Sus scrofa: one gene and its partners. The protein of the gene in region 3 purifies or fractionates together with the protein of the main gene of each other region. This does not show direct contact. Links are inferred from orthologs where the notes say so. Each region holds a gene or a part of one and is shown on either strand. Other genes may lie near its edges.

Region 1 (4,158 bases), on a different chromosome or scaffold from region 3:
TGTTATTTTGTTCTGATTCCAGATGTAAACAGTGAACAACTACAGTATTGGGGAATTTTGTGGTATAAGGTAAAGTTTATGCTTCTACTAACCAAAGTCATATTTTAAGACTTTTGTTTGTCTTGTTTTGAGTTTTATGGTTCTTTTTTTTCTCAGCAAGAGAGAATGTGCCAGGACTTCTCAAGTAACTTAATGGCTCTGGTCATTCATGTCTTTCTAGAGGTTCAGCTTTAATTAAAAATCATTTTGAGACTTAAAAAAAAGTTAAAGTAACAAAAATTACCCTGTAATAGATGTGTTAGTTTGCTGCTTTCTGCTTGGTTGGCTTTTTCTGTTCTTTGTTGCTTGTTATTTTTTAGTACTTTTGACTTAAACATTTTCAGCTTTTCGAAGGATGGCCATGAAAATATGCAGAACTGCCCTTATTTTTGACTCATGAATAAATTTAAATGTCTTTAGATGCAAGGCCTTTGGAAGATGCTGTAAACAGTCTCCTCTGTTCCTCAGGCTCTACCCGCTACCAGTAGAAAAATTGCCAGTCTGAAATCTTTTCCTCTCTTCTTCATCCTCTCCACTTTTGCTTTTAATAGTACAAATACTATAGAATGTTCTTTCCTATTCAGATAATTTCTCAGGGTCATGAGCATTGATGTGGGTGCCTCAGTTCTTGTTTGGGGCCTATAAATAAATATGACCATCTCAAACAAACCTCTCGTGAAAACAAAGAGATCTTTATCATCATAAGGAAAAAGAAACAGCAAACGTGAGGAATTCCTCTCTTTCTTCAGTCAACTTAAAGGAAAGCTCTCAGGGTGCCAGCCTAAGTAGTTGGCCCTAAAATGGAAGCAGTATTTAATCACCTGTTAATGGTGTTACCAATCCATTTTGCTTTCAGCTTCTTATCATTTTGAGATCAGAAACCTTTACTGTATTGCATATATAATAGAAAACTTATTCATATTTTTAAATTTGCATTTTTGAATATAAGCTGTGGTTTATGATTCTTAATATTCAACAATAAATATTATACCCTGCTGGTTCTCTTTGTAAAATAAACATGCAGAGCGTGTGGGTATTATAAGTTGTTTAAAAACACTATGAGAAAGTCATAAGGCTAGTGAACCTACCATATAACAAGGAGAAACACATTTCTAATACATCAACATAGCTACCTACTAAACGGGGCTATTTTCATACTTGAGTAGGTGACACCAGTTTTGACTGAATATTGGCAATTACGTATCTCCTCTATAATTTATCTTTTTATTTTCTTTCCCTACAACTTTCAGGTAGAACTTTAGACTTCATAGCACTGAATTAACCTGCACTGAAAGCTGTTTACCTGCAGTTGTTCACTTTTTTGAAAGTGACCATGTCTCAAGTTCAAGTGCAAGTTCAGAACCCATCTGCTGCTCTCTCAGGGAGCCAAATACTGAACAAGAACCAGTCTCTTCTCTCACAGCCTTTGATGAGTATTCCTTCTACTACTAGCTCTCTGCCCTCTGAAAATGCAGGTAGACCTATCCAAAACTCTGCTTTACCCTCTGCATCTATTACATCCACCAGTGCAGCTGCAGGTAAGCGTATGACTCCAAGTGTCTTCTGTTTCAAATGTTTTCTTAGCCTGTGTTCTGATCTGATAAGTAGATTGCAGATGTAGGGAGCTCTCACACATTTATCTTCAGGAAGCAGAAGAAAGTATTACTGCCCACACTTCTTTATCCCAGATATGAAACACTTGTTTGTATATTGGGTTGATGGAGGCCTTGGACAGACCATTTTGAAGTGTGAGAAAGAAAATTGGAAACTAAACTATAAAGTTTACTGTGTTATAAAGTGGTGGATGGCAGAAAGAATTGAATAATAAATACTACTTTGGATATTCATTACTATATGGGAAAATTTCTGCTTTTAAAGTTATTTCCCAGAGGAGTTCCCTGTTGTGGCTCTCGATAACAAATCCAACTAATATCTGTGAGGACACGGGTTTGATCCCCGACCTCGCTCAGTGGGTTAAGGATCTGGCATTGCTGTGAGCTGTGGTGTAGGTTGCAGATGTGGCTTGGATCTGGCGTTGCTGTGGCTGTGGTATAGGCTTGCAGCTACAGCTCCGATTTGACCCTTAGCCTGGAACTTCCATATGCCGCAAGTGCAGCCCTAAAAAAAAAAAAAAAAAAAAAAATTTATTTCCCAGAACTGACTTGTAGGTGTAAGCCTCCTTTTTGGATATATATAAGATTTATCCCAAGCATGGGAGCAGCCAGATTTACTGGAAAGCAAAAGTGTGTTACCATTCATTAATATTTATTTTGAAAAAGTAAGTTTAAGTTGAGGTTCCAGAGGTAGTTACGAAATCATAGTGTGGACCAATTAGAAATGGAACAAAGAAGCAGAGTTTTTTGGTTTTTTTGGTTTTGGCTGGAGCATGCAGCTGCTTGATGTGGGATCTCAGTTCCCAGAGCAGGGATTAAACCCAGGCCGTAGCAGTGGAAGCACCAAATCCCAATCACTGGACCACCAAGGAACTCCCAAGAAGCAGAGATTTTTTTTTTTTGAAAGGAAATAAGTTGAGAAGCAGTCATATTTGAATATTAGGAAATTAAACCGAACTAAATACTCTCACTCATCAGAAAGGATATGACACCTCTGAAAAAAGAACCTCCTGAAAACAATATTCTGCTTCCCAAACCTCCCCTGCCTCCGCCGAAGTTGCAACACCAATTAAATGGGGTATCAGCATGGGTGTCTCTATATTAGAGTCACCTTCTAACAAATTCTTTTCAACTCAATATGCTTGACAGTTTCGCTTGCATTTCCTCCTTCATCCTCTCATTTTCTTTACTTTTTAAATCTGTTCTTAGAGCGTTACCTTGTCCCACTCTCATCTGCATGGCATCTATCATGCTACCTCTAGACTTCCTTGGACTGGCTCACCAAATAGCATTCTTACCTTGTTATAGTCCCCTAAAGAGTCAGTGTTCCCCAGATTTGCCATTTGAATGCCATCTTAATAGGAAATGGCACAGACTATTTCAGTCCTCTGGGATTTATTGCTGTTTCTTCTCATGTGTTCTTATATCCACATTTTGTTAATTTTATAAAAGTCCTGTCTGCCAAAGCCATTTTATTTTTCTTGTATAATTGTCAGAAATAGATAAAGCCTGAGGATGGCAGCCTCTGGTGATAAGACTAGAGGACGTACCAAGAATGAGAAGTTAGCTGTGTGGAAAACGACAGTCGTTGTTTGAGAAATGGTATTGGCATGTTGCGTTTTGTGAAATAACGAACAGGGTACAGTTGACAGCTGTTGTGGTAACCAGTGTGTGTGTGTCTCTGCTCAAAAGATCTCCTGGTTATTCCTTTGTGTATAATAGCAGTGCTTCATCTGATTTCAAATCTTGCGTGCCTGCCATAATTTAGTTATTCCTCTGACTTCTGTTCTCTCTCTTTTGAAGACACACCCTCTCCTAGGTTACCGGGCTTCAACTGGTTCAGAAAAGATCTGGCTGTGTCTTCAGACTGTGCCCCCAGTGTGGTTTGCAGTTTTGCATCACGGCTGCTCTGAATCCTTAGACCTTCATTTTTCATATCCCTGGTAGAGCCACAGTCTTATATGCTACTAGTTGACTTCAATGCTCTTACATTATTTTTCAGTTCCTTCTAATATGGCACACCCCAAAGAGAAAACCCCAATGTGTCTTGTGAATGAGTTAGCCCGTTTCAACAAGATTCAGCCTGAGTATAAGCTTTTGCGTGAGCAAGGTCCAGCTCACTGTAAGGTAAATATTGTCCATACTGCTTGTGCGTTTATAACCCACTAGGAATGTTTTCTTTCTTTTTATATAGTTGCAAGTGGTGCTCTGATTCAAAATACGTATTTTTTAACTGCTGAGGTTGTCTGAAAGAGATGCAAAAGTACAGATTTTTGGCAAGTCGCTTCTTTTTTCATCTTTGCAGAATGGGTCAAAGAAAAGATAATGCATCTTTTGGGGGATATTTGGCTTTTAAAACTCCAATTAGTGTGTGGTTGTTTAAGATTCTGAATAGAGACAATTCCCAAGTACCTGCGAATGATTTCCTGTGAGTTTTACAGGCTCCGAGCCTCCTGGCTACAGCCTTCCTCTGGCTCCTTTCCTGCTTGTTTGCACGTGCACGTGT
Region 2 (4,280 bases), on a different chromosome or scaffold from region 3:
TTAAAGCTGTTTATAAAAATTAGATGGGTTTATTTCCAAAGGTAATGTAAGATAAGTCAATGAAAATGGTTAACTAAATGCTGCATGACTGTGGAAAAGGATCAAATACATGAACTGTATGAATGAACTTATCCCGTAGATTCATCTCTTAGACTAAGGGTGTCATGTGTTCCTGAAAATCCTTAAAAATATGTTCAGTGAATTTTAAAGGTAGTAATAATACTAACAACATTTTCTGAGTAAACTCATACACTTTGCTTTAAAGTGGTAGTATACCAATAAAAATTAGTAATAGTTACTCTGCTAAATGAAGCAGAACAGTAGAAATAAAATAAGCTACTAATTTGGCTTGTTGGTATTTAAAAAATTTATTGAATCTAAAAGTTCTGGAGCGAATCCAAATTTGTGCCTTCTCTCTCCACCCTGTACAGTTTACAACTGGAATTCATGTTAAACGTTAATTTTAATTTTCGAGCATAATGTATTAAAATGTCATTAATAAATGGAAACTACGCGGTCTAAGTATGGAATCCTTCATGTCTCCACCTCCATCACCTAACAAAAAAAACCCAACAACCAGGAAAAGTGAAGGCAGATTCTGGCTCAAGGTGTTACAGGATCGCTAAGCTCCAACAGCACGGAAAACAAAATCCACAAGTCCCCTATTTCGGCTTCAATTGAGTTTAGCAAGCACCAAAGGCCGGGGGCAAAAACTGTTAACAAGAAACTGAGAAAGCAAGTCTGGCCATTGGGCACGCTCACCGCCAGGCAACAAACTCCCACAAACCCATCAACTCGCAACTCTGGCGCTGCAGTTAACTTTCCGAGAGCAGCATAAGTAGGCCCGGAAGAGCCCAAAGGCACCTCCGCGGAGCTGCTTTATCAGCTGCTTCTAAAGTCGCTAGGCGGATGATTCACCGCCTCTCGCGAGGGCAACGAACTACAAACAGACGGGGCATCCGGAACAGGCCAGCGAGCCTCAGCCCAACGCGGGGGGGCGGGCGGGGAATGCGCGCGGCCCCAAAGGCAGCAGACCTACCCTTTCTCTCCAGAGACCGGGAAACTCATCGGGCTCGCCTATTTCACCCCAAATGACCCCGGTCCCTTTGCTCGGCAAGGCTGGGCGGAAAACTACCCCCAATGCGGCGAACCCATTGTTCATTACCTGATGTTCCGCGGAGGCCCCTGCGCAGGAGCCGGGACTCCGGTCGCTGTCGCCGATTTTGGACGGCATCCCGAGACCACCTTTCTCAAGGTTCTCTGGCCTGTCCGAGCTGCCACAAACATCTTACCGAAGCCGGTGCGCCTCTGGGACCAGGCAGACGGCACCGCCCTCCTTCCCGGGGCCCGACCTTCCCGGCGCCGGCGCCTTCCAGCCAATCGGCGGGCCCCCTGAGCCGCCAGACACGCCCCTTCTCCCTCCCAGATTGCGCAGAGCTGACGCACATTCCCACTGCCGCAGGGCGTCCTGTAAACGCGCTCGTCATCCTTCCTGCCAATCAGAGGGGGCGTAGGGCCATCGGTACCCACCTCTTTCCGCCGGCCACTCTCTAGTTCCTGCCGCGCGCTTGGGCGCCTTACGTAAGGTCCACGGTGACCGCTCACCCCCCTTCCCGCGCTGGAACTCTTCCCCGGATTCGTCAACCGCCGCGGTTCTCTTGGGTGCTGTTTCCGGTCGTGAGGCTCGCCACATGAGCGCAGCCCGGGGGCGGGAGGAAGCCCGAAATTCTAGGTGTTAGTTATGTAACTATCCAAACCGGTGAGTGCTGGGTCGGACCTGCCATCCCTGCTGGCCGTCAGTCTTGTTGTTAATGATTGTCTAATACAGTACCTGCCGTGCTTACCCAGTGAGGTTGGTGTGAGGGCAGTGTAAGGCCATGTCGTTAGGAAAGAGACTCGGGGGCGTTTGCTTTCTGCCTGTGTAGGCAACATTTTAATTGGTGTTCGTATGTGATAATGCTTTGTGCAGTTGAAATCCGTTGCTAGAAAGCATATTAAGCATTTTCCAGTACAACACAGGAGGTTCTTGTCCATTGAGGTGGTTCTGAGCTGCATCGAAATAATCCAATATCAGATTACTTTCGAATACCCAGTCCCTGCTCTTCTTGTCTTGAACTTTAAATATTGCCTCAAACATATTGCTTTAAAACACGTTTTAAAAAGTTTTATTGAAGTATAGTTGATTTACATTAAAACACATCTTAACCGTATTACTCCCCCACTCAATACCCCAGTGGTTACCAGTTGTCTACAAAATACAGGCATTGCACTAGGACATCCTACTGACTCCTATTGCAAACTACTGGTATTGTTAACTAGAAGGCCTGTTAACATTTTCAGTGCAAGACATGATGTACTTGTGTACTTAATATAAGGCTTTTTTTTTTTTGGACTTTTTAGGAATATGGAAATTTCCAGGCTCGAGGTTGAATCAGAGCTGCAGCTGTTGGCCTCCGCCACAGCTACAGCAACCCACTGAGCAGGGCCAGAATCAAACTCATATCTTCATGGATACTAGTCGGATTCATTACCGCAGAGCCACAACGGGAACGCCAAGGCCTTCTTTTGTTAAATCCAAAATTTTCTCACTGAACTCTTCCCAGACACAAGAAAATATCTATTGAATTGAGTCACCCAATTGAATAGTTTACCAATTAAAACTTATAAGGCAAATAAAGGAATTTTTGTAATAGATGACAGTGTAGAGTACTCATTTGACTTCTCAGCAAAGGAAAGAATAATATAAACTTAAAGGTGATAATAAACTCTGGTTGAGTTTTAGTAGATGACAGTGCTTCCACAAATGGGGGCTAAAAATCTGTCTCTACAATAGGAGAAGATTGGTAGTAAATTGAAACTCAGCAGAGACCTGTGGGAAGCAGTATGTTAGAGTCCAAACCAGTTATGCTGCCAAAAATATATTTGATACAACACCACCTATTAAGTATTCTTGACAAAATAATTGAATCTGAATCTGGTCAAGCTTTTATGTTACACCAGTTTAAACAAGGAATAGAACATATTAAATGGTACCAAGAGGATACAACCTGCCAAATACAGAATATGGAAAATTCTGTGGGACAAATGACCTAATTTCATCAACAAATGTCAAGTAAAGGAGAACTGGGGGTGAGGAGACTGCTGAACTTTCCAAGATTTAAGAGGCATTATTTGGGTTTTGTTTTGAACAAACTATATATAAAAAGACATGCAGTGAGTTCCAGTTGTGGTGCAGCAGAAACAAATCTGACTAGTATCCATGAGGATGCATGTTCAATCCCTGGCCTCAATCAGTGGGTTGAGGTTCTGGTGTTACCATGAACTGTGGTGTAGGTTGCAGACACAGCTCAGATCCCAAGTTGCTGTGGTTGTGGCATAGGCCAGCAGCTGAAGCTCTGATTTGACCCCCAGCTTGGGAACTTCCATATGCCCTAAAAAAAAAAAAAAAAAAAAAAAAAAAAAAGGCATATACAAAACTGAGAAATTCAGCTAAAATATCTACTTTAATAAAAATCGATACTGAAGATTTTACGGGTACAAATGAGGTTTGTGATTTGCTTTTAAATAATCTAGTGGGGGTGGAGGAATAGAGTGTATGAAACAAAATTGATCATTTGTTGATAATTATTGAAATGGGTGTGGGTAATTGGGAGTTTATGGTAGTGTTATATCTAATTTTTGTGGATGTAAGCATACACATACATTTACTTTCTGCCTTTCATGTGATTGTTCCAAGTGAGATTTTCATTATTAATGTCCATTAGAATTATACTTTTTTTGACCTTTTGCTTACTTCAGAATCCTGCATATAGATTGAACAGAACCAGAAAGGCTTCAGGTAAATAGAGATGGCTATGACTTTGTGTTACAGTTTTTAATCAACCTTCCAGTGAAAACAAATATGGAGGAGTTCCCGCTGTGAAATGGGATTGGTGGCATTTCTGCAACACCAGGACTTAGGATGTCTGGCCTAGCACAGTGGGTTAAAGGATCTGGCATTGCCATAGCTATACAGTCACAACTGCTGCTCAGATCTGATCCCTGGCCCGGGAACTCCAAATGCCAGCAGAGTGGCCAAAAAACAAAACAAAGAACCAAAACCAGATTGAGGATGAATTTTAATGACAGAATAAGACCTTTAAACATCATTTATGTTTTTTTCCCTGAAATAAAGGAAGCTTTCAAAATTAACATAATCTCATTTCTGGCACCTTCTTTTTTTTTTTCTGTCTTTTTGCCTTTTCTAGGGCTGCTTCCCGCAGCATATGGAGGTTCCCAGG
Region 3 (4,316 bases):
TGCTGGAACAAGGGAAAGTTAACACCTGGACAGAGAAACTGGAAGGCTCAGGGAATAGGACATCCCCTCCAGCACACACATCTTTTTCTGCAGTGGCACTAATGCCCTCTTGGCTTAGATAATTCTTTGTTTGGGGTTGGAAGGGAGGGTCTGTCTTGTGCACTGTAGAATGCTTAGAGGTGACCCTGAGCTCTACCCAAAAACATTAGCCCCCAAACACCTCCAGGCGCTGCCAAATGGGGGAACAAAACCACCCTCAGTTGAGACACACTGCCCTTTGGTAACTGGCCATACTTTTTTTCAGATACGACACATTAAAAAAATTTTCCCACCCGCCAAAATAAATATATTTCCCACCTGTCTTCTAAACAGCCTTTCACACAAGATACATGGGCTTTAAAGATCCCTATACCTCAAACCCAAATATGTTCTGTTTCCAAGGCCAGGGAAAGGCACACTCACGTGTTGGCAAAATCTTTAGGATTACCACCAGGTCAGCCACATTGTGTCCTGTAGTCATCGTTCCCTTTTTATATGATCCAACTTGTCGGACTTCTTCGATTTGCTGTTGGAGAGAGAATTTCAGAAGAAAAACCTTAGAGCCAAGCAAGGCAACTTCCACACTACCAAGGCCACCCTTCCCTAGGACTAAATCATCAAAACCTCACCACTTCAAATGTCCCTGGAGCCACGATCAAGTTGTCAATCACATTATTTATTTTTGTCACCAAAGAAAGGATAGAGGCCTGAAAACAGCAGGAAACAAAAATACCATAAAGGTGAAACATGATAAGCAACTTCTCATCAAGTTTGAATGTTTTCCCCTAATCCCTGCAATACAGGCTCAATCAGTACCTACAACGGACTCTGAAAACACTCTGGACCCTTCTGGCTTTGAATATGCCAGAAGAGAAAACTTTGATCCAAAGATAGATGCCCCAGTAAAAATATAAATGCACACATAATTTGTTTATATCATCCCTGGTGCTCTCCCTCCACCCACAGTGAGAAATAAGGAGAACAATTAAACCCTCTGGGGAGGGCAGGCTCTGATAAGTGTAACGGCACCAGTAGTTATTTACTTCTCTACTTCATTCGTGAAATCTCAGGAGGAAAACTAACAGAATATACCTGCTCAGCTGAATTAGGAGCCAGGTCCTGATTCCTCTTCAGTAAGGCCTCACTGAAGGAAGTTTCATCAGGTGCTGGCTTGACCCGAGGAAAGGCCATTTCACACTAAACCAGAAATAAACAATTTTATACTACCCACCAAAAATAACATAAAATAAAGATTGTTTTTTCCTGTTGCCACAAAACAAAAAAAAGTTGAAAAGAGAAAATTCTAAAACACTTATTTTTAACTCCATAAAATATTTAAACAAGCATAGAAACTAGAAGAGCCATAATTTAAGCTCTCACTACCGTTACATTAACAGATAAACCAAAGATACAATTAACTGTTCAAAACAAAGATTCTAATCCTGTTACTACCAACTGTAGTCAAGGAACTATGTTCCCCACCCAGTTTACACTGCTTTTGTATGTAAAGCAATACAGGCTGACTCAAAACCCAATCCCACTCACTAACCCCCTTTCCTACTCCAACCACCATTTGACTTTATTAACAGGGAGACCCTAGGCTCCAGGAAACAAGTGAACTGCGGTCAAGGTACTCACCAAATAGAAATCAAATGGGATATGTGGCACAAACGGCCTGAACCTAAAAAATGAAAAACAAGTCAAATTATTCACCACAGAAATCAAGTGGTTTTAGCATAAAGGGGCCAGAACTCTCATTTAGGAGAGCACGGAAAGAATGCTTCTAAACCACAGCTGGAGCTCACAAAAGCAGGTAAGATTAGTCCGCTCCAAACACCCCATTTAGGTGACTGAAATGGAAACTAAGTGTGCAGAGATGCTAAAAACTGGCACTCACCCTCCTCCTGGGCCTCCTCTGGAACCAAAGCGCCCGCCACGACCACGGCCTCTGTCCCCCCTAGAAATGCATAAATACATTTTTAACTTGGTTCTCACCGCGTTGAAACGACCTCCACCATACCGGCCATATGATTTCAAGTTCGCTTACCGCCATCTCCGTGAACTTCCGTTTGGAAGCTAAGAGATCCCATTCCCACTGACAACACTTGCTCTCCATCCGTCCCAAGCGCCCAGCCTCAACCCCCAAGACCGCCTCCTTCTGGGTAATTTAATCACATCAAATACTGACGAGGTTCAGTGAGCCCTACAAGAAATGCCCCATAATTCCCGGGGCGCGCCAGCCCTAATACTTCAGAGACTAACGAGATTGCTCATTTATTCGTAACTAGTAAAAGCATCTAACGGCAACCCTATACGTCAAGCACTTAGCCTGGAGTATGAACGAGGCACGTTCAAGCCTTCTCAGTCTAGATGGTGGTCGGGGTGGGGAGGTGGTCCTCCTGGGAGGTGAGGACAGCCCCTCATCTAACCGCCCCCGCTCCCGCTTCCCCTTGCCTGGGCCCCACCCCCATCCCTGGCCCACGTTTCCCCGCCTCCGCGGCCCCCGACTTCCCCCACGCTCCCAAGCGGGAGTTCTCAGATTTCCGTGCAGCCCCCAGATACACGGCCCTTCAAGACCTCCGAGTCCTTTCAGCCCGCGTACCCAAAGTTTTTGGTCGAATACTCGAAACCCTTCCAGAGCACCCCACGACCCTTACCTCATGGCGTCCCAAAGTCCGAACAATGGAGGCCACACCAACCGCCCCTTTCCTCCGAGAAGCCCTCAACTGGAGAGGCGGCTTGCCGGCGTATGCCAACAAACCCCGGCGTGATTGGCTCCCGCCGTTCTGCACCACTTATGCCTATTGGTTCACTTCAGCAAACCGGGTTTATGAACCAATAAAAAGCCCCTACTATGTCAGGGACCAGCCAATAAGAAAGGACTTGACAGGAAAGACTTTTTTTTACGGACACCAGGGGGCATGGTGTAGAGCAATCAGGTTGGCTAACACTCAGAGAACTTTCTATACGATTTTTGAAAAATATCTTGCCGAGCTAGCAGAGTGGCGCAGCGGAAGCGTGCTGGGCCCATAACCCAGAGGTCGATGGATCGAAACCATCCTCTGCTAGGAGAGCTTTTCTTTCTTTTCCCCCCTCCTTCCCACTCCAGGACAGAAACTCTTGTTTTTCTAGTAGATGTAAATACCGCACTCCTATGTTTTCCTCCTTAGAAGCTAATTTTTGCCAAAAGCAGGCAAATGGCGCAAGCAGGCGAAATGGAATAGGAAGGGACTTAGGCAACTATGACTACACGTCTGGATGTAGTTCACAGAGACTAGAAACTTGAGGCAGGAGAAGCGGATTTGAATATAATAATTGAATCGGAGAGGAGAAATACTGATGTGGAGGGGCTAGAAGGCAAACTGAGACAGCCTCAGGAAAGAGAGTTCAGATGAAGAGAACAACGGAAATGACTGGAGAAAAAGACCAGACCCATCCCTCTTGCCCAGTATCCCCTCATTTCTCCTTTCCTCACTCGGCAACCTCCCTGGTGGATTTTACTCTTAAACGAAGCTTCACAGCCACATATAAGGATAAACTGCTGTTGCATTTAAATCAATCATATTACAAGTTGCTCTTTGTCCTGTTTCTCCCTCTTCTTGCCTTCTTTTTCACTGACTAATATTTATTATTCCTTCCCTGCCTCTGTCAATAGAAAGTTACGCACTTTTTCTGCTCCCTCAGTGGTTACCCTAAAAATTTCGTGCCTCCTTGAAAGGGCAGAGTCTAATTTTACCCTCCTCGTGAAAAATGCAGGAGTAATTTAATTCAATTTACCACACTGACTCTAGAATTATATATACTATTGTGTAACTTTTAAGTATTACATTGACGTATTATTTACTACAGCAAAATGCACAGATCTTAAATCTACAGCTCCAATATTTTTGAATAATGTATTCTGCCCTTGTAATCACCGCATAGATTAACATAAAGAATATTTTTAGCACCTGACAAATTTGGCTTATACGCCTTTGCTCTCCCCCTGGAGGCAAACACTATTCCAATTTCTCTTATTGTAGATTGGTTTCGTCTGCTCTTCACATAAATGGACTCACAGCCTATGTGTTCTTTTTCCTCTGGCTTCTTTTGCTTGGCACATTTCAAAATTTTTCCATGTTTCTGCATTTATCAGCAATTTGTTCCTTTTTACTTGTTTATTTATTTTAGCCCCACAGGGCATGCGGAAGTTCCCAGGCCAGGGATTAAACCCAAGCCGCAGCAGTGACGAGACTGACAGGAGTGTCAATGTGGGATCCTTAACCACTCCTCCTTTT

What was found. The genes of interacting proteins can lie anywhere in the genome.
Region 1: the proteins of ILF2 (region 3) and STAU1 purify together in Homo sapiens (affinity purification with mass spectrometry; 3 studies listed by BioGRID). This does not show direct contact. The link is inferred for Sus scrofa from reciprocal best matches to the Homo sapiens genes ILF2 and STAU1.
Region 2: the proteins of ILF2 (region 3) and SF3B1 fractionate together in Homo sapiens (co-fractionation; 3 studies listed by BioGRID and IntAct, with this or other methods). This does not show direct contact. The link is inferred for Sus scrofa from reciprocal best matches to the Homo sapiens genes ILF2 and SF3B1.

Annotation. Positions count from the first base shown.
Region 1 is NC_010459.5:50,849,351-50,853,508, reverse strand, and holds the start of STAU1 (double-stranded RNA-binding protein Staufen homolog 1), read left to right. Parts: upstream 1-1,335; 5' UTR 1,336-1,372; coding exon 1,373-1,577; intron 1,578-3,654; coding exon 3,655-3,779; intron 3,780-4,158. UniProt on the Homo sapiens protein: Binds double-stranded RNA (regardless of the sequence) and tubulin.
Region 2 is NC_010457.5:101,335,196-101,339,475, reverse strand, and holds the start of SF3B1 (splicing factor 3B subunit 1), read left to right. Parts: upstream 1-1,457; 5' UTR 1,458-1,759; intron 1,760-4,280. Other genes in the region: COQ10B (coenzyme Q-binding protein COQ10 homolog B, mitochondrial), read right to left, coding at 1,166-1,287. UniProt on the Homo sapiens protein: Component of the 17S U2 SnRNP complex of the spliceosome, a large ribonucleoprotein complex that removes introns from transcribed pre-mRNAs.
Region 3 is NC_010446.5:95,979,369-95,983,684, reverse strand, and holds the start of ILF2 (interleukin enhancer-binding factor 2), read right to left. Parts: upstream 2,824-4,316; 5' UTR 2,702-2,823; coding exon 2,697-2,701; intron 1,997-2,696; coding exon 1,937-1,996; intron 1,721-1,936; coding exon 1,678-1,720; intron 1,237-1,677; coding exon 1,132-1,236; intron 747-1,131; coding exon 669-746; intron 566-668; coding exon 463-565; intron 1-462. UniProt on the Homo sapiens protein: Chromatin-interacting protein that forms a stable heterodimer with interleukin enhancer-binding factor 3/ILF3 and plays a role in several biological processes including transcription, innate immunity or cell growth.